Linked DNA regions of Alligator mississippiensis. The protein of the gene in region 2 interacts with the protein of the main gene of each other region in a biochemical or structural test. Links are inferred from orthologs where the notes say so. Each region holds a gene or a part of one and is shown on either strand. Other genes may lie near its edges.

Region 1 (9,423 bases), on a different chromosome or scaffold from region 2:
AGGTCTGGGGGTATTCTTTTCTGTGCTACACCCACATAGCAGTGAGGGGTAAACAATGAACAAATATCTCATTCTCAGTGTGAAAAGTGGTTTGTCAGATGCCAGTGGCAGCACGTACAAGGAGCCACAGGACTCAACCTCCAACTACAGCCATACAGACATGTTTGCAGCCTCAAAGGAAACATTAATTAATCCAAAGGAAATATCTACCCTTAAGAGCACATATGAAGAGACCACATTCTGACCCGAGAGTCATAGTGATACACTGCATCTAGTATGCACCCTTTAAAAAACATTAAAAGAACATCCATTGCCCATGTATGGATTTGGCCAGAATTAAGGCCCTGGAGGTGCCTACAATTTTCCCTCTGTGCATGACCAGAACTGATCCCCCTAGAGCACACAGGTGATCTCCCACCTGAGCCCAACTGGGATCCAGAAAGTAGGTACTCCACTGCCTGAGGCTCACACCATTATCAAGTACTTGTCAATATTGTAGTCCTTCACAAAATGCAGTTATGGCTTTTTTGTTAAAATGGGTTCAGAGGTGATGGGGGAGATGGTAAGCGTCTATAATAGCCCAATACATTACACCACCAGCTCATAAATTGGAAGACCAGGCTTCAAGGGGTTCAAACCAAGGAGAGTGTCCTAATACCTGGCTATAGGCTGGTCAGTTGTGTGGCTGAGCCAGGCACATGCTGCTGACGCTGTGCTATGATGCAGAAAGTAACGCAAGATTCACAGGGCCAGGAAGGGACTCTGGAATACAGCAGTTAAAGCAGTCAGCTGTGTTTGGCCTCCACTCTCAGGTCTTAAGGGTTGTGTTTTTTATTCAGTCATTGTTTATTTATTTTACATTAAACAGATCAGGAAGCAGGGACCAGAAACCAGGGCAATCTCTCCCTAGTTACATATCCTAACCACTACTTGCCTTACCTCTTGTGACCTCTCCATCCCCTACCTTACCCTTCTTTATGCTCAGAACAGCAGTTCCGAGATGGACAGTTTACCTGCTCCTGTGCTTAGTATTTTTTCTTGGCTAACTTGAGTTGGCCCCATTCAGCACACTAGTTCCTATGGATTACTTTGTCCCCATGTATTACATAATGAAACCCAGGCTTCCAAATCAGGGTTTGAATTCCACTCTGGAGGCCAGGTGATTTAAGTTAAGTATTGCTCTACATTACATGCATGACATACTTGTCATTCAGGTTGGGGAGTCAAAAGTTAACTGGGAGCAATGCTAATGACATTGCTGCCTCAAGTACTACTGGCTACAGAAATCAGTATGACTTTTAAAGACTCTAGCCAGATGGGTGATTAGACCACAGGGGACCTCAGACTCAGCTTTTTGATCCACACCATTTCCTACTCCAAATGAATGTCCTCACCTAGACAGTGCTGCATCTTCCTCCTATTTTAATCAGATTGAAACAATTTAAAAAAAGCTAATCACATCAGTTCACCTACAGTATCTTAAACAGTCAAGAAAATTCACATATACACAAGCTGTATACTGTATTAACAAGGTTTGCCACTCGACCAAAAGACTAATAACTTGGTCATACTTGATTAACGTAGCATATGACTTTAAAGTGCAGTAGCTATTCCTAAATAACTCCATGTGTGGACATTTCCATTCTGGTATAAAAGAGCCCACACTTGATCTGGAATGACTAGTCTAGACTCTCTCATATACTATACAGGCAAAAACATTCTCCACCAGCATAGATTAGATTAAAGGCCATATACTGTCCTCCATTTGTGATTTGACACCTCACTGTCACCTGTAGTTTTCTCAGTTAACAGAAGTGAGAAATCACTTTTTATTTAAAAGAAGCCCTAAAATCTCATTGTTTGGATACTAGAAAACCACTGTAATTTGCTTGTTTTTGTAAGCTAAATCACAACCTTTTTTAAAAAAAGCTGTCAGCTCAAGTACATTATTTTTGTCATTGTAGTACCCAGTTATACATAATAAACTCAAAATGTACACTAGTTTTGTTTAAATAATACAACAGAGACATGAATTACAGAGCCATTTGCTATTAAGACAACTATACTATAAATGGTGTCTCCAAGCAAGATGGAGAACACAAGAGATATAAAAACCACCATTTCACTTCTCTGTAACCAAAGCATTCATGATAAAAGGAATCTGTATTTAGATCATTTGAACTTTCATTCCAGAAAACTGATTTATTACCAGTGTGAAGTGGTGTGCATACACATGTAGCTTCAAGACCGAAATGCAAGTTGCACTGATCTAAAGGGAAAAAATAAATTTAGATGAGAAATGTCATTAACAATCATGACACAATGATTAGGTATTGATCAAAGCCAGATGTGGTCCAAATATTTTGCAGAAATTTGTAATGATAGTTCCACTTCCCTTAGAGCAGGGTGTCAAACGTGCAGCCTGCGAGCTGGGTCTGGGATTGGGAATCTGGCCTGCCTGGCTCCTAGAGGCTGGACATTTGTGGTCAGGCTCACTGCTGAAATGTGAGGCATGGAGCCCCACTGGAGATGTGTGTTCACAGGGGTGGAGTGGGGTATGAGTGTAGCCCCGGCTCCCTGATACTGCTGATCCTATTATTTTTAGATCCAGCCTGGGGAGCCAGATGAGCTTGACATCCCTGTATTAAAGTAAAAATAAGCAAAGAAGGAAGCAGGGATTTTGCCCTGATTAATACTGGGGTACTAGAATAGCAGCAGCATTCCTGATAATCTAATTTTAATCACTCCTGTATTACTCAAGGGAGACTGGTGGAAACGGAATATGTATATAGTGACAATTAGTTGAGTCACTGTAATCTCACCCACATTTTAAGCGTAGCATGGCACACACTAGAATAGAACTTTTACTTCATAAAACTGCAAAGACAAAATAGCCAGACGCAGTTTGCGCTGACATACATACCATTTACTTCTGCACCCAAGAGTTTCATAGTTTGTGTTATGCTGCCTGATGTGAGAGTTACCATTGCACTTCCTTAAATTTAAAGAATCAGTATAAAACAAAGGCTTTACTACTGCACAAAATCTTGGAACAAAGCAAAAGCTACAGTATGCTAACATATGAAGTGCTATAAAGAAGTTTTAATACACACTAGAAATAGAAAATAGGATCAAAATTGAGATTCTAGTCATGGTCTCTAACCTGCTTCCCTATTTCCAAGCTAGGTTTAACCACATCCAAAAGAAAGTTTCAGAGCTCAAGAACCATCTCTAATCTAATTTTCCACTTCTGAAGTGTATTTAATACTTCCTTTCCACGTTCTTCAGGTGTTCTTCACAACCCTATTGTAAGTATATAATTCGCTAGAATTACATAAAAGGTATCCAAAAGAAAGTTTCCAGGCATTTCAATCTTTTGCCCTCAGCTAAGATGACCCCCATAAACCAAAACTTCGACAATTTATGTAAAAAAATTTTCATGGAAGTGTGTTACATGAAAAACACTACAATGATACAGAACTACAATGATAAGGGCAGAAAAGCCTATAAATTTGTGCAAGGTGCAGCTGTGATCTCTAAAGATTTAGAAGTCTATTGCCAGCCAGATTACTAAACATACCTCCCTCTCCCTTTTCGTACACGTTTACAGTGGCCAGGCACAGTACAGGAACTTGATCAGCTAGAATTTTTAGGAAGTCAATATAGTCCCTGTTAAATTTAAGGTCTTTTAATACAATTGTTCCTGGCCTCTGTTTATTTTTGGAAGAGCTTTTGGATGGGCCTGACAGCCTGTAGACACAATAATAGAAGTTGTGTTATGTGCACACTTTAGAATAACACGCACCTTAAAAAAAGGAAGAAAAAAAAATCTATTTAAATAAAAAAGTCGGATAGATATCCATTTAGACAATAAACATAAAAAACAAACATTGTGCTACTACTGAGTTATGAAACTTATTCTGTGCTCCACTTCTTTTCCTCCCTCCCCACCCATTTGTTTTACACCTCTTTTTCCAGAGCAATTAAGGAAAACTGGATGGGATTCCCTGAAGCCATAAATATGGCTCTTGCCTTGGCTACAGGAGTGAAGAGAGACAAAAAATGCCCTCTCCTCTCAGATCTGGAAGCACTACTCAGACTGAAAGTCCATGGAAAGCAAGGAGGATTTCATATGGTAAACTAAAAAGAAAGCTTTTTTTTTTTTTAAATTATTATTACGTTGTCTGAAAACAGACATGGAAAGACATTTGTACCAAAACGTGACCTTCTTTTCCCACAGATCGATTTGCAAAACCTGTGTATATATCTTCATGTGTGTTGGTTATTAAACAGTTATGAATATTTGGTAGCAAAATACTGACTTTATTTTATGTGCGTTACACACTGCTTTAGTGCATTAAACTAAAGGTAAAACAGACAAGAGACCCCAGTCAAGCCCTTCCCCACTTCTGCTACCCCCAGGGTCTGTGGCTAACCTCATTCCTCACCCAAGAGGGAATTTAGCTCAGTTGGAGGCTGCACGCACACTGGCCCGTTTCAGGTGACATTGCTTTCCAGCACTGCCGTTTTGCTCAAGGCCCCTGCCTCCTGCTTCAGGACACTCAGCAGCGCTCGAAAGCTGTCCAAGATCTTCACGTAAGCAGCGTCGGTTTCAGCAAGGATTTTGTCCAGTTCGTCGCGGGCCTCGGCCTTGCGGGCCAGGCTGCCCGACACGCGCTCCAGCCGCTCGCCCAGCGCCCGCACGTCCCGCCGCAGCCGCTCCCGCTCCTCCTCGTCCCGCCGGATCTGGCGGGCCAGCTCGTCCCGCCGCAGGCACAGGTCCTCCAGGCACCGCACCACCTCGTTGTTGCAGCCCTGCAGGACGGCTGCCTGCTGCGCCATGCTCCGGGCCCGCTCCGCAGGAGAGAGGGGAGACAAGAGGAAGGAGACACTGCGGCGGGGCTCCCCAAGGACATCTTAGCCGCCCGCCGCCGCCTCCAGCTTCCTCCCGCGGGAGGCAGCCACACAAAATGGCTCCCGCCCCGGCCCCGCCATGCCCCCGGGACAGCAGCCCGCACTCACTGGCTCGGCCCGCGGCGGAGCCGGGCGCGTCGTCCGCTCAGGTCCGGTCCAGACCCCCGCCCGGCGGCAACCGCAACCGCAACCGCGCCGCGCACTCCGGCGTCGGGAGGGTGACGGAAACAGCCGAGGCTTCCCGAAAGCAGGTCCGGAAACAGCCGAAGTGTCCCGAAAGCCGGAACCGCCCTCCAGGGCGGAAAGAGCCGATGCGGCCCGAGCCAGGCCGGCCGCGGCCGATGTTTGCCGAAGGCAGAGTGGGCCGAGAGCAAAGGGGAGCGCGGGGCCGGGGGGCGGAGCGCGGCGGAAAGAGCCGGAAAGAGCCGAGGCGGGCCGAGCGCGGCGGCGCCCGAGTTGCCCGGATGTAGTTGGAGGAGCGGCGGCGGCGGGCGCAGCGGGGGGAGGCGGCAGCGGCGCGTCCGTGCTCGCCAGTGTCTCCGTGCGCGCGGCGCCCGGCTCGTCCCCCGTCCCGCGTGGCGGCGATGGGCCCGTGAGCGCCGCTCGCAGCCGAGCCCGAGCCCCCGCTCCCGCCCCGGCCCCGGCCCCGGCCCCGGCCGCTGGCGAGGCGGAGCGCTGCCTCCCCCTCCCCCCTCGGCGCCCGTGGCCCGGCCGCGGCCGCCCCCCCCGGCCGCCCTCACCCGCACGCACACGGGCCGGGCATTGATGGTAATGTATGCGAGGAAACAGCAGAGACTCAGTGATGGGTAAATGGCTCCGTCCCCGGCCCGCGCCCCCCGCCCCTCCGCCATGTTTGCGCCCCTCCCCCGGCCGGTAACGGCCCCGCTAACGCCTCTCTCTCTCTCTCCCCCTCTCTCCGCAGCTGTCACGACCGCAGGGGGGACTCGCAGCCCTACCAGGTACTGCAGCGCCGGCCGCCGGGCCCCGCAGGCCGCGGGCGCGGGGGGGGGCGCTACTCCAGCGCAGGCTTCGGCCGTCGCCGCAGGCCGCGTTGCACCCGCCGCCTCGGCCCTGCCCGCCCGGCCGCCCCGGGCCCGCTGCGCCGCGGGGGAGGGGGGTTGCGGTGGGGAAAGGGCGGCCCGGCGGGCCCGGCGAGGGGCAGGGGCGGGCGCGGCCTAGCAGGGCCCGGGCGGCCTTGGGCCTCCGAGCCGGGCGGGGCGGGGCGGGGCCGGGCGGGAGAGCCGCTGGGGTCTCTTGGAGCCAAAACAAATGGGAAAGCGGCTTCTCTGCCAGCAATGGAGCAACTTGGGAGCTGGGGCACTTGGCTTCATACCCGGGGAGGAGCTGCCTTCGAGGGCCCTGGAGAAGCACCCCCTCTCCCCCTTCCCGTGGGTAGGGAGGCAGCCCCTGGGCGCCTGCACTGTGGGGCTCCTCCAAGGGTGCTGGTTGCTCACGGCTCTGGGTATTTGATTAGCTGGGAAATGAAATCTGACAGTTGAAGGCAGCTGGAAGGGGCAGTTCCCGTGCACACAAACACTCCCCTGGCAGCGAAGTGCCTTGCCAAAGCAAGTAGGTGGAAGAGGGGCTGGACAGGAGCACTTCCAGCAGGTCAATATTTCCAAGTGGGCGCAGGCCAGCGAAAGCACTGCCTGTCCCACCACTGCGCTTCCTTCCGCCTGTTAAGTTGGTTTTATGGCTTCAGGAGATTCTTGCCCTTAAAAGTTCATTGGGGTGCTGGATTAGGGTAAAAGGTGCTGGATTAGGGTAAAAGTTTTCAAATCAAGCTTGCAGTGCGTGTGTGTGCGTGTGTACACTGGGTTTGTGCAGAAGTTACATATGATAAATAATATATATTGCATTACTTGATAATGAAGTAGGTGAGGAAAGAAGCTGGGTGTTTGCTAAACGTATCTGGGTCACAAAATGAAGAAGTTTGAGGAATGGCTACTTTGCTTTTAGAGGATATTAAAAATAATGTTCACATATGATATCAAAATGGGCAGAGGTGTCGCAAGACCTAAATCCGCCTCATAACATTACTTTGTATGGCTAACTACAACTAGAAAGCCAAAGGCTGAGTGTCCTGCTGAAATTGGTTTTCAGCAGGAGCTCTAATCACATTTATAATCTTGAGTCATACTAGATTGAAATTAAATGTGTTCTGTATTTAGAATACATGTTTTGGTGGGAAGTGGTAGTAACTGCTACAAAAATGAAACCCAGTTTTAAAGCGCATTCTCATCTCTTGCAGACTCTTAAATATTCATCAAAGAGTCACCCCAGTGGTGGTGATCACCGTCATGACAAGATGCGAGACACCACAGATCCTTCACCACCAAACAAAATGTTGCGGCGATCTGATAGCCCTGAAAACAAATATGGTGACAACACAGGGCACAGTAAAGCAAAAAGTGTGCATGCTCACAGAGTTAGAGAGAGGGATGGTGGTGAGTTGCTTTTAATTGACTTATTTAAGCAGCATTAATCTGATGTAAACTACGTAACAACAGCTACTACTGGGCAAATAGAACTTCACCTTGAATGACATGTCTAGACATGGTGGTCAACTAATTGATCCCTGAGCGATTAGTTTCACTGAACATAATTGTGTAGAACATCATGAAGTGAAGTATTTTGTGCCTCCAACAAGTAGTACATTTCGAGAAGGCCACAGGAGAATACATATATGCAATTTTAGTATGGTGATTCAAATTAATTTCTGCGATTCAAATTTCTAAAGACACTTGTAATATTAGCATGTGATAACATTCCATTTTAGATTTCTTCATCATAGAGATTTTTACTTGTTGCTTCAAAGGCTGAAAACTGTGATTGTTCTGTGGCTTATTAAATAACAGTAGTCTGCTTGCTTATTATGATGATTAATTGTTCAGTTAAGTGCTTAACAGGCTGAACGAAATAGATAATTTAAAATGCAGAGAAGCTTCAGAACTTTTAGTTGCTGTAAGGAAGACTAGTGAGTAGGGGATAGTATGCAAAGGTATTCCTGATTTGATTCCTACTTTGGGGGGAACTCATAAAGTGTTCCTGCTTTAATTCTCTAAATATTTTAATAGACTTCTATTCTATTGCCTGCCTTCCATTTTTGCTACCTCCAGTATCTTGCTTTACTTATCTAATGAGCAAAATTGTAAACATTTTACTGTTTACTATTGTGGGGGAGGTGGGGGGAGAGTTTACCTCAGACACCAGTCAAACTTAAGCCAGTTCTTGGGTTTTCAGTGCTGCTTTTCATTCTTTATTGAGTTACCATGAAAAGTCTTCAGGAAGAGGAACCAAAGAGATCTCTAAAACAACGTATCATCCATGCTATAGGTAAAGTTGACAAATAAGTGATGTAAGGACACTCATTTTATTACTTTTGTTGTGAATGCTTGTTACAATAGTTAACATTAAGGTGAAATGCCAAGTATCTTTTAAGATATCTTGAAGGGAACTCCTGGTCTCCACTGCAAGCATACTTATAGTATATGAGTACTTGTATGCTCCATATTTATTTTCTTTGCTTGAATCTACAAATGGAACTGTTTTATGCATGTTTGATATGCATGCATAAGAAACTGCAAGTTCGTAAGAAAATTTTTGCAGGATAACTTAAAAATATTGATCCTCTATTGTTTTTCTAAGCGTGAGATTACATTTAGATACTTCCAAATTCAGATGTGTGCCATTCTGTAGGGTGCTATTTAAGAAACTGGGTTTAATTCCTGGTTTTACTTACTTGTTCCCTTGGATCCTGACCCTGCAAGCTCTTATACTTTGTTTAACTTCTCTACCTCAAATAGTTTCTATTCCAGTGGGACTACCAACAGTTAAGTACCTGTGAAAATGCATGAGAGATGAAGGCCCATGGGGAAGCAACAGTATTTCTGACTGTTGACATTCTCACACTATAGAAGGAAAGTTGAGTTCTTGCTTAGTCCACCTGTACTGAATGATTAGTGATACATGCCCCAGGCATACAAATATGAAGCAGCTGAAGGAGGAGGTAAAATGGAAATGCTGGAATCTGAAGGGGTTAGAAGATTGCTACTCATTTTGTTCCTTATTCCCTAAGCCATTTATGGAATGGAGGATTTAGTGCAGTATATTTTCAATATATAACATGGTGTAGCAAGTTATTCTAAGTGGTTAGGTCAGCAAACATAAGCATTCCAAAATATGGCATTTTTGTAAAATGATGCAACAGAAATAAGCAAGGTAATTGTGTTTTTAGTTTTAGAGTTTTGATTTAGTTCAGAAAACTTTTCAGTCAATAAGCATGACTAAAATTGCTTTAAACTTTATTATGTCATAAGCATAGTAAACCATAGAGCCGCTCTATGCAGTATAATGTCAACATAAACTTGTGCTTCTTCGTGATCATGTACAGATTTTAGCTGCATACATTTGTACTTTTTGCCACCATTATAGATTATTGCATCCTCTTGTTCAGTAAATATGTCAATTAATACATATTAGTGTTAATGTCAAGACACATGAAATGCT
Region 2 (10,011 bases):
TATGGAAGCTGGTCCCAAGTTTTAAAAGCAGTTCTCTTGCAGTCCTCCTCTTGTCATGATGCTTTCACTGCAAAGTTGAAATCAAGAACTCTAGAATTGAATTAATGAGTTATTGATGTTTAAGCTAACAGACCAGGTCTTGTAGTATGGGTGGCAAACTGAAAAACGTTTATGTTGACCAGTAACCTCAGGGAAACAAAGACTCAGGGTCAACATAGAATATGCTCACTAGAAAGACTCAAACAAGGGTATAGACATTGTATATCATATACCTAGTTTTCTCCTTAAAACTCTATGTTGGGCATACTTTTGTGTAATATTTCCATTAACAACATGGATGACTGAATTGTAAATATGCTTACAAAATCTGTGAATGACACCTGTTGAAAATATTTGCCTTTCCTGAGTAAGGTTTGATGAACTGACTCTGGAACTGAAAGAATCCTTGTTAATTCTGAGGTTGATCCATTGTATAACATAATACAGCATAATTTCCCCCCAAAATATGACTAGTAAGTGATATGTTTACTTACAGCAGCATCAGAAGCAGAACTCACCCGTCTCTAGGCAATCTGTGGTCTTGCTGGCCCTGCAGAGCTTCTTTTAAAACCCTTATTCCTCACTTAACTTGCATAACTGCACTTCAGCACTTGTTTACTAGTTGCAACAGTCTTATGCCATTAACAGTGAAAATGTTACAATTGTTTTTCTGCCTACAAAGCTAGTTATCACAATTTTGAATTTGCCTGCAGTCAGCTACAACTCTTAATTCTGGCACTGATTATTAGAAGAATGAACTCATGTTCTTAAGGGTCTTTTTACTGTCTAATAGGTGATGATGAACACCAAGTAGGGAGGGGTTGCAAATACTCAGGATGATGCACAGAATCAGAATTGAAAAGTTGTGGCCCCAGTGAAGGGGCCCCAGTGAAGGGGGCATGTGGCCAAAGTATGTTGGAAGATGCCTGATGTCAAGTTTGGGCCAGAGGTCAAATGCGGCCCAGAAATGGGGCCGGGGAGAATTGGAAGTGATTTTGGATGTCATCTGTGAGGCATGGGACATGCTGTAGGGGTAGTTCAGAGCTGTGTATTATGCCCTGGGCATCAGGGCAAGAAATGGCAAGCCTCCCACCTATGCACAGTGTTTTAGTTCCAACAAAGGCATGGCAAGTGAGTCAGATGGGTGGGCTGCCCTAGACAGGTGGGTGGGCCAATGACTGGACTGGCCTTGAGATGGCCCCCTGTCACACTATCTAATAAGGCAACAGTACACAGGATATGGGAGGTGATGTATATTGCAAATGACCTATAATTCTGAAATGAGATCCTACTGCAAAAGAGTCAAATCTCATTCTGGTGTGTGTTAACAGGGATGTTGTACATCTGATACGAACTGCAGCTAGTAAAGTCTCAGCTTGAAGACTATATGCAGTGGGCACCAACCTTTAAGGAAGTTGTAGGCAAAGTAGAGAGGCTCTGAAGTAGAACAAAAGTTGTTTAGCAAAGATGACCTATGAGGAAAGGTTGAAGGAACTGGATTTGCTTAATATAAGAAAGAGAAGACAGAAAGGGAAGACAAAAAGGGAACTATTTTTCATGGCTACTGGGGGGAAGGATAAGAAGAAATCAGCTTAATTTGCAGTAATGATGACATAGTAGGATATGAGGGGAAATTCAGTATCTGATAGATCAGGGGAGCTCAACCTCCAGCCAAATTCGGCCCATGGAACCATAGCATCCAGCAATTTAGGAAATCTGATGGTGGGAGAATAGTGGCAATTAGTACTGCCAAATACCCAGGACCCACAGCCAGATCAGAGCCAGGCCACACCCCATTCCCTCCGTGGGGCTGGGTCACACCCCCTCTGCCTGCAGGGTTGGGCCACCCCTGTTCCCCCATGCAGTTGGATCGGGGCTGGTCATGCCCCTTCTCCCATGGAGCTGGGTTGTGTTAGGGTCAAGTCTCCTTCCCTGCATGGTTGGATCAGCATCAGGCTGCCCCCTGCTCCCTTCTACGAGCCAGATGGGGTCCCACTGCAACCCTCTCTGGGTGCCGGATCAGGACCACTAGTGAAAGCCAGCCTGTGGAGAGACCAGGCACTGCACATCTAGCCCACTGGACAACGAGGTTGAGCATCATTGTGTATCAGTGGATATCCTGGAGTCTTGTTTATTGGATGATTTGAAGAAGAGGCTAAGTAAATGTCAAGGCAATCTTGGTAAATCTGATTTTGCCTACGCACAGGGGTTTAGACTACATGATCTCTTGTGATCCACTGAAGTTCATACTATAGTGCCTCTGCAGCTAGTCTTGTCCAAATCAGCCTAGTTCATGAAAGACAGACACACCTTTACCATTGTGTTAAGATAACATATTTAACCATCTTCCTTTAAGACTGTCAAGAAGCAAGGCTTCTGCAGAGCTCTGTTGACTGTTAATGTGGACTTCAACCCCCAGAAACTTCCCAGGGGCTGGAGGACAAAGTGAAAAGGAAGAGGAAGCAGGGGGTGGCCAGAAGAGAAGCAGAGAGCTGTGAGAGGGCTATGCTTGGTTGCTGGACACTGGGGATGCATAGTGGGACTGTAGATCTCACTGGCTCGGTTAGCCAGGGCTGCGGACTGAAGGAGCTGGCCTCAGACTTGAGAACAAGTGCAGCCTGCTGTTTGAGCACTCTGGGGACTAAAGGCTGGTTTGGGGACACCTCCAGTGGTGTGTGCGTGGGGGCGGGAAATTAAGGTGCTGAGTGTATGTACCACAGTGTTAATGTCTATTTACCTTTTCCCTCCCTTTGGCATTGGCTTGTGACCCTAACTCCTATGATGTTATATATAAAAGTGGGACCCCCCCCCTTTGCTTCTTGTGCCAGTTTCTGTGGCTGCACAGTTGGCACAATATTTAGAAATGCAGAAATCTTGCAGTGTTTTAATGAAAAGTGGATCTTGACCTAGTTCCTACTTGTAAAGCATTTGCCATTCATTTTTTTTTTTTTTTTTTTTACACAACAGATTTTTTGGGGGGTGGGAGGGGGTTCCGTAAATTACAGTATGCTCTGCATTTTATTATGTGTTTAATTGCAAAAGCACCATAATGTAGTAGCTCTGATACAGCAATGTGCATCTGAGAACTATTTCTCATCATAAGAGGAATGAAGTTCTGGAACAGCCTTCTAGTTGGCATAGGAGGGGCAAGAAATATAATAGCTTTTAAGATGGAGCTTGATGAATATATAAATGAGATTATATGATGTAGTTGTCTACCATAGCAAAGGACAGGGCTCAAAGACCCAGAAGCTACTTCACATTGTATATCTTACATTCCTAAACATTAGGCATACGCATAAATATTATGATATAAACAGGACTTAAATGCATTCAAAAGCTTGTCGAACTTTATTTCAACCATGCAGTTGGTCCAATAAAAATATCATCCGAGAAAATGCTCACCTCTTGCTTATTAAGTATGTACTTAAATGCTATGTTGAAACAGTACCTAAATGAAGACACATCATTCAAATCCTGATTTTGTGGCAGCATCAGACTCTTTGTCTTGATTTATGATGAGCTCAGCCTTTTCACCAATTATCTCTTTGTTTTCAAAACTGTCTGTACCTAAATCTTTCTTGTGTACAGCTTTCCCATGTGTACTTTTTTGTCAGGCACAAAAGGTACAAACAGTATAAATTGGGGGCTCTTTTAGCTGACTCTAAATCTTAAATGGAGCCTCTACACTTTAAGGGTATGAAAGCATAATGTGATCTTTATGAGATCTGCCCACTATAAAATAGCAATTATAAAGCCTGTCTGTCATCAGACTGCAAACCAGATTGTATTCTAATGACACTGAACACAAGTGCTCTTCCCAGGTGTGCTGGGTTTGTTGCTCTGAAAGAAAGGCAGAGCTAAAAGGATTAAAAAATGGGCAACACTCCATGGGATTTTCACATGAGTGTGCGCGCCGGGTCTGACCCCGGGTCGCTTACGTTGCTCTGCACGCAGGCTGTGGCCAGCAGCCCGGGCAGGCCGGGTCGGAGAGGGCGGGCGCCGAGCTAGAATTAGGCACAGACACGTAACGGTTGATTTTAAGATTATTTTACTTACACCGAGATGGTCGTGGTGTAGGCTGAGAACTTGCTTGAGTTGTGGTTACAACAAAAAACACGAACACACGTGGAGGTTGCAAGGCTCCATGCAGACAGAACATGACAAACTCCGGATGTCCAGGACAAGCACGCATTAAACTCGTCGTTACATCTTATAGTAGGCTTCGTTCGAAGACGGGAAGAGGTGGGCGGTGGATCAGGCCGCCAAACTCCTCTGAGCGACACACAGGGTTTCTATTACCCTGCCACACACACCCAGAATCCCCACAAGATGGATGCAAAGTCCTCTTCGGCTTGGGCAGAAACTGCTCAAGCCTCTTATACGGCTAGCAGGCCAATCGCTAGCCGCCATGTGTGAATAATTTAGAACTAGCCAATTGCGGGGCACAAATTTGCATACCACGAGCGGGAAACCTTTGCACGGTGCATTTCTGTGCTCCAAAGGAAATGCACCCTGCAAAGATCGCTGCAAAGTGGCGGGAACACTTCCCTGCATGCGGGTTCTCTGCGCAGCAGAACTCCTCCGTGTAACGAAGCGGTATACCTGCGGGGATAATTCTTAGTGCCGAAGCACACACAAAAAAAATCAGACCTTTGGGTCATGACAATGAGCAGAGACTACAAAAAACTAGAATTGTTTAGTTTTGAAAGGAGATGAAGTAAAGGAATCACTGAAATATTTAAGGCTATGAAAAGTACGGTAAAAAAGTGACCAGCCCTCCAGTCTTATGTGGTCCACAATGTGGAAATAAGTTTAGTTCTCAATTAACTGAAGAGTAAGGCACTTCAGAACACACAAAAGGAAATATTTTTTCATAGATCATATAATCAATCTTTGGAATTGCTGTTGTCGGAGGTCACAGGCTGAAATACAGGGCTTTGACAAGGGTGGTGTCATTTTATGGCTAAGCAGGATTTTTTTTAAAGTGTAGTTTGGTACTCATTCTTCTGGGCCCTGTATAATACACTCGGGAGTATGGCACTGCACACGTGACTAGGCGTGGTATGGGCACTGGGACTTGGAATAATCAAGAGGCCAGTGAGAGCAGATTTTAAAGAACAATTAGTTCAGATTTGGATGACAAATCCTCTCTCCCAGATTAGCTGCAGTAAGTATATCAACACTGTATATATTCCTAATTCCCAGGCTAATACATATTAAACCTTCTGGCATTACCAGGGTGCGTCTGAGCTCCTGCATATTAAACCTTATGTTTTTAACAGCAGGAATGAATCTGCTGCCTTGAGCCTGGGCTTGGGCTACACAATCTCCAGACCACTATGACACCCTGCAGAGGGGAACTGAGGGAAGTGACTCGCTCGCCGTCACGGCACGATTCTAGGCTGGTTCCCTATCCTCTTCTCCCCTCTATCATTAGCTGCATGGACTGCAAACGCTGCCCAGCTTTTGGTTTTCACCCCTGGCAACGCAACGCCTGCAAGGACCGTGCTGCCCATTGCGGCAGGGCTGGCTCAGGGGGCAACACGGCCAGTGCCACCTGCTGACCACAGCTCCACCGTGCAACCGGGCTGCTTTGATTTGTGAGGGTTTTCTTGAGCACTGCCGATGCAGCCACCAAAGGACCCCCCGGGCCCCTGTTCTTCCTACAGGTGGCGCTCCGCAGGCACGCAGCGCTGGTGCCACAGGAGTCCTCGGGCCTCGCCTCAACCCTTTCCTCTCCGCCACTTCCGCCCACGCAGAGGAAGGGCGGCAGCCACCCTTTCCCTTCCTGCCAGCGTCAACCCCTTAGAAAACAACGGGAGGCAGTCGCCATGTCAAGTAAGGGCACGGAGCATAGCCGCTCCGGACCATCCACAGGAAAGGCACGCCCAGGGTGCGTCACGGCGCCATGGCTTCAGGAGCCTAGAAAGCAAAGCGGTGCGGTAGCCATATTTAGTGAGGGCACCGCCTTCGGGGTGACGACCTGCGCAGTGGGCCGCTGATTGGCGGAGCCGCTGTCACTGACCGCTTCCGGCTGGGTCAGGGGTAGAAGGCCAGAGGGGAGGCGCAGCGCCGGGCGGCGGTGAGCTCGGGGTGCGGCACGGGGGATTGGCCGGGGCTAGGGCCGGAGCTCCCCCCACGCGCAGGGGCGGGGTCCGCCCTGGGGGACGTTGGGGGCTGCGGGTGCTCCCTGCGCGCGGCTGCCCGGGGGGAGGGGCAGCGCTGGGGGCTCGGCTCGGCCCGGCGGGGGAGGGGGGCAGCCTCCAGGAGGGGGGAGCGTTGGCTTCAGGGGGGCCCAGCGCCCCACCCCCACCCCCGCGAGTTGTAGGCCTGGAGGGAGGGGGCGGGGGGCAGGGTGTGTGTACATACATACATATACATTGGTGCACATTGATTATTAAAAATAATGTGTATAGACACATATATATGCACGTGTACATGTATGTATACATGTGTTAATGTATATGCATATGCATAAATGCATATTGATTATTAAAAATAATATCTATACATATGTATACACAGGTGTTTGTATATATAGATATAGGTATATATTATATTTATCAATAAATTGTGTACACATACGTATACATAAATGCATATTCATTGTTAACAATGTCTGTATACTAGGGATGCACCGATAGAGATGTTTGCGGCCGATACCGATCTGATTTCCGATACCAACCCAGCAGCCTGAAGAACAGCATCCACCTGGTAAGTCTGTTGTGGTGGACGGGGACGGGGACAGGGGAGGGACAGATCAAGGCCCCCTGTGGTGAGGGAGGAGTGAGGCCGGGGCTCAGCCAGAGCAGGGTGGGTGTGGGACACAGCTGTGGTGGCGGCTTCTGCTGCTACTTCCGCCACTCATCCAGGGGAGGGCATTGGGGTGGGGGGCATGTGCCCCAGATCTGTGCGGGGTGGTCAGGGCCGGGACTACCAGACGGCAGTCGGGGCAGGCGGCACTGAGGGCAGGGATACAGGGAGCACTGCAGCCACCCCAAAATTTGCCAAAGCCCCTGCTCCCAGTGCTGCTGCCACCTGCCATGAACACAGAGTGGCGCAGCCCTGGCCCTGCTTGCCCCGCACAGATCCAGGGGCATGCTTGCCCCCCCGTGCCCTCCTGGACGAGCAGCGGGAGCCCCCTCCCTGTGCCCCCTGGATGAGCCACGGCTCCGTCCCACACCTTCCCTGCCCCAGCCCCTGTCCCTGTCTCAGCTCCACTCCCTCCCTCATCGCAGGGGGCCTTGATTTGCCCCCCCACCATGCCCCTTCCATTCCTCCCTCCCCTTCCACCATACCAGACTTACCAGCTGGACACTGCTCTTCAAGCTGCCGGGCTGTGCTTCTCGCCGCCTATGTGCTGCCCTGCAGCCACGCAGGCACAGGCCATTTATCAGCCAAATTATCTGCCATATGAGGCTGATTTCTGATAAAGACAATTTTCTTTATATCCGTGCCAATCTGATATTGGACCAATGCATTGGTGCACCTCTAGTGTATACATTTATGCGTATGTGTGTATACATGTATGTATGTATCCGTATGTAAATGCATATAGATTAAAAAGAGCATGGGTATGTATATGTATTTGTATGCGAGGATACACGTATTTATGTGTATACCCACACCTATACATATAGATTAAAAGAACGTGTGTGTTTACACATGCTCACATGTATGTGCATGCATACATATATCGATTTTTAAAAACAAAAGTTCCTGTGTGTATATACAGATGCTTGTGTACATGTACATATGCATGTATACACACCTATATGCACCTATATTACTAAAATGTGTGAATGCGTATATACATATGTGTATACACATGTAAATGTTTATGTGTACCCTCATACATGCCTACATACATATGGTAGAGGTGCACCAATAGAGATTTTGGGGGCTGATACTGATAGCCGATATTTAAGGAGGCATATCAGCCGATACCAGTCCAATTTCTGATGCAGCTGCCATCAGCTGGTCAGTCCATTGTGGTGGAAAGGGAGGGGAGGAGGGAAGGGGCATGGCAGGAGGGGTTGCAGATCAACGCCCCCCGCGGTGAGGGAGGGGGTAGGGGCAGGCTCTGCCCAGCCAGGGCGGGGGGGGTGGCAGGATAGAGGTGCGGCTTGTGGGGGGGGCAGCTCCTGCCACTGCTTGTACCCCAGGAAGGCAGGGGGCGTGTGACCCCAGATAGGCACGGCATGGGGCAGGCTGCAGCTGCGGGGTGGAGATGGTGCTTCATGGGGCTTTTCTTGCCGCTGGGCTTGGAGCAGGCTCCGGTGTCACTGGGAGGAGGCTGTAGCCACCCCAGATTTCACCGCATCTCCACTCCCAGCCCCTCACTGCTGCCCAGTGGCCAGTGCAGTCGCAGCTGAATGCCCCGCCTCCACCCAAGCACTGGGAAAAGCAGTGGCTGAGCTGGACAGCGGCACAGGGCTGGAAACAAAGCTGCAGCAAAATTTGGGGTGGCTGCAGTCTCCTCCTAGCAGTGCTTGAGCCCTCTCTGAGCCCAGCCTCTGGCGAGAAGAGCCCTGCATAGTGCCGGCTCCAGCTCCATCCCACAGTTGCAGCCCATCCCGCGCCGCGAACATCCAGGGGCAAATGCCCCCCCCCCCCCCCCCCCCCCCCCCCCCCCCCCCCAGTGCAAGCAGCTGTGGGAGCCACCCCCCTCTGCCCCCTGGCTGGGCAGCACCTGTCCCCTCCCTCACTGCAGTGGGCCGTTGATCTGCCCCCTTCCCATGCCCCTTCCCTCCCCATGCCCCTTCCAACTTATCAGCTGGAAGCAGCGCTCCATGCTGCCAGCTCTGCTCCATGCTGCATTGCAGCTGCACACAACACGGGTGTTTATTGGCCAAAATATCAGCCCGATGTATACACAATTTTCTTTATATCGGTACCAATCTGATATTGGACCGATGTATCAGTGCACCTCTAACATAGATTATTTTTAAAAAAACAACAAACCTCACAGAGTCACTGGTTTGTAACTTTGCGGTAGCTATATTTAAAGGATGGGATAGAGCACATGAAGCAGTCCTCTGTCTCATTTTGAAGTGCCTTTCTTAGCTTGAGAAGCTGCAGTGTCGGCTGTTAAGAAATCCAGCAAACCCCCGCTCCCCCGCCCCCAATTAGAAACCGTGGGGCTCTGAGTTTTACAGGTTTTTTTATTATTGTTACCTAAATTTTGTACCAAATTAGTAGGCAGCATGATCCTCTGAAAGGTACTGGAAACACACATGGCAAAATTCTTCACAGAGAGAGAGAAAGGAGGAGAGACTATAAGAATTGCCCCTAGGATAGGCTGTCTTTCAATTAATTCAGACCTAATCAGGTCTGTGCTTGCTTTTGCATAAAGTGGCCATTATGGCCTTGTCTGGTGAGGGTCTGAGGGCTTCCATTGGGGACAGGAAGAATTGGGTTGGCAAGGGCTTTGTAGCCGCAGCAGGCTGTAGGCTTATTTGCCAGTTCTCTTCAGAATGTAAATAAAAGTATTTTGCTTCCCTTCGCAATGCAAAGCAAAAAGATGGAAGGCAGAGAGCAAACACCCCTTTCATAGTGGATGCTGAAGTAAGTTGTTGCCCACAGAAGCTCGTGCCTCTCTGAACCAGTTAGTCTTTAAGGTGCCACTCACCCTACTTTCTGTGGTTGTGATCAGTTCAGGTGGCAGTGTGAGACTATTTCTGCTGCCACTGTTCACACCATCCAGAGAATTTCAGTCTCCAATGCCTTTCACGAGCATTGGGTTTACGCAACCCAAAGCACATACACGCATATGCTTTATTTAAAGGTAGTAAGAAGTACAGGGAACTTCTGTGATTACAATGATATTGGCACTGTGTTATCTCTCAGTATGGTCTGTTTGCTGCAAGAATTCTTTATTTCTTTTCTCAAGGCACATATCAGAATGTATGAAAAAATGTCAAATGCATTTTTGTGTCAGGGGAATTAACAGGTATATCGTATTTTGTT

Evidence for each region. The genes of interacting proteins can lie anywhere in the genome.
Region 1: the proteins of RNF20 (region 2) and WAC form a complex in vitro, tested with the Homo sapiens proteins (2 studies listed by BioGRID). The link is inferred for Alligator mississippiensis from reciprocal best matches to the Homo sapiens genes RNF20 and WAC.

What each region holds. Positions count from the first base shown.
Region 1 is NC_081828.1:190,514,443-190,523,865, forward strand, and holds the start of WAC (WW domain-containing adapter protein with coiled-coil), read left to right. Parts: upstream 1-5,579; 5' UTR 5,580-5,679; coding exon 5,680-5,720; intron 5,721-5,836; coding exon 5,837-5,873; exon of another isoform or gene 5,874-6,101; intron 6,102-7,165; coding exon 7,166-7,361; intron 7,362-8,181; coding exon 8,182-8,250; intron 8,251-9,423. Other genes in the region: microtubule nucleation factor SSNA1-like, read right to left, coding at 4,498-4,842.
Region 2 is NC_081826.1:162,742,553-162,752,563, reverse strand, and holds the start of RNF20 (E3 ubiquitin-protein ligase BRE1A), read left to right. Parts: upstream 1-6,026; 5' UTR 6,027-6,124; exon of another isoform or gene 6,125-6,135; intron 6,136-6,672; 5' UTR 6,673-6,756; intron 6,757-10,011. UniProt on the Homo sapiens protein: Component of the RNF20/40 E3 ubiquitin-protein ligase complex that mediates monoubiquitination of 'Lys-120' of histone H2B (H2BK120ub1).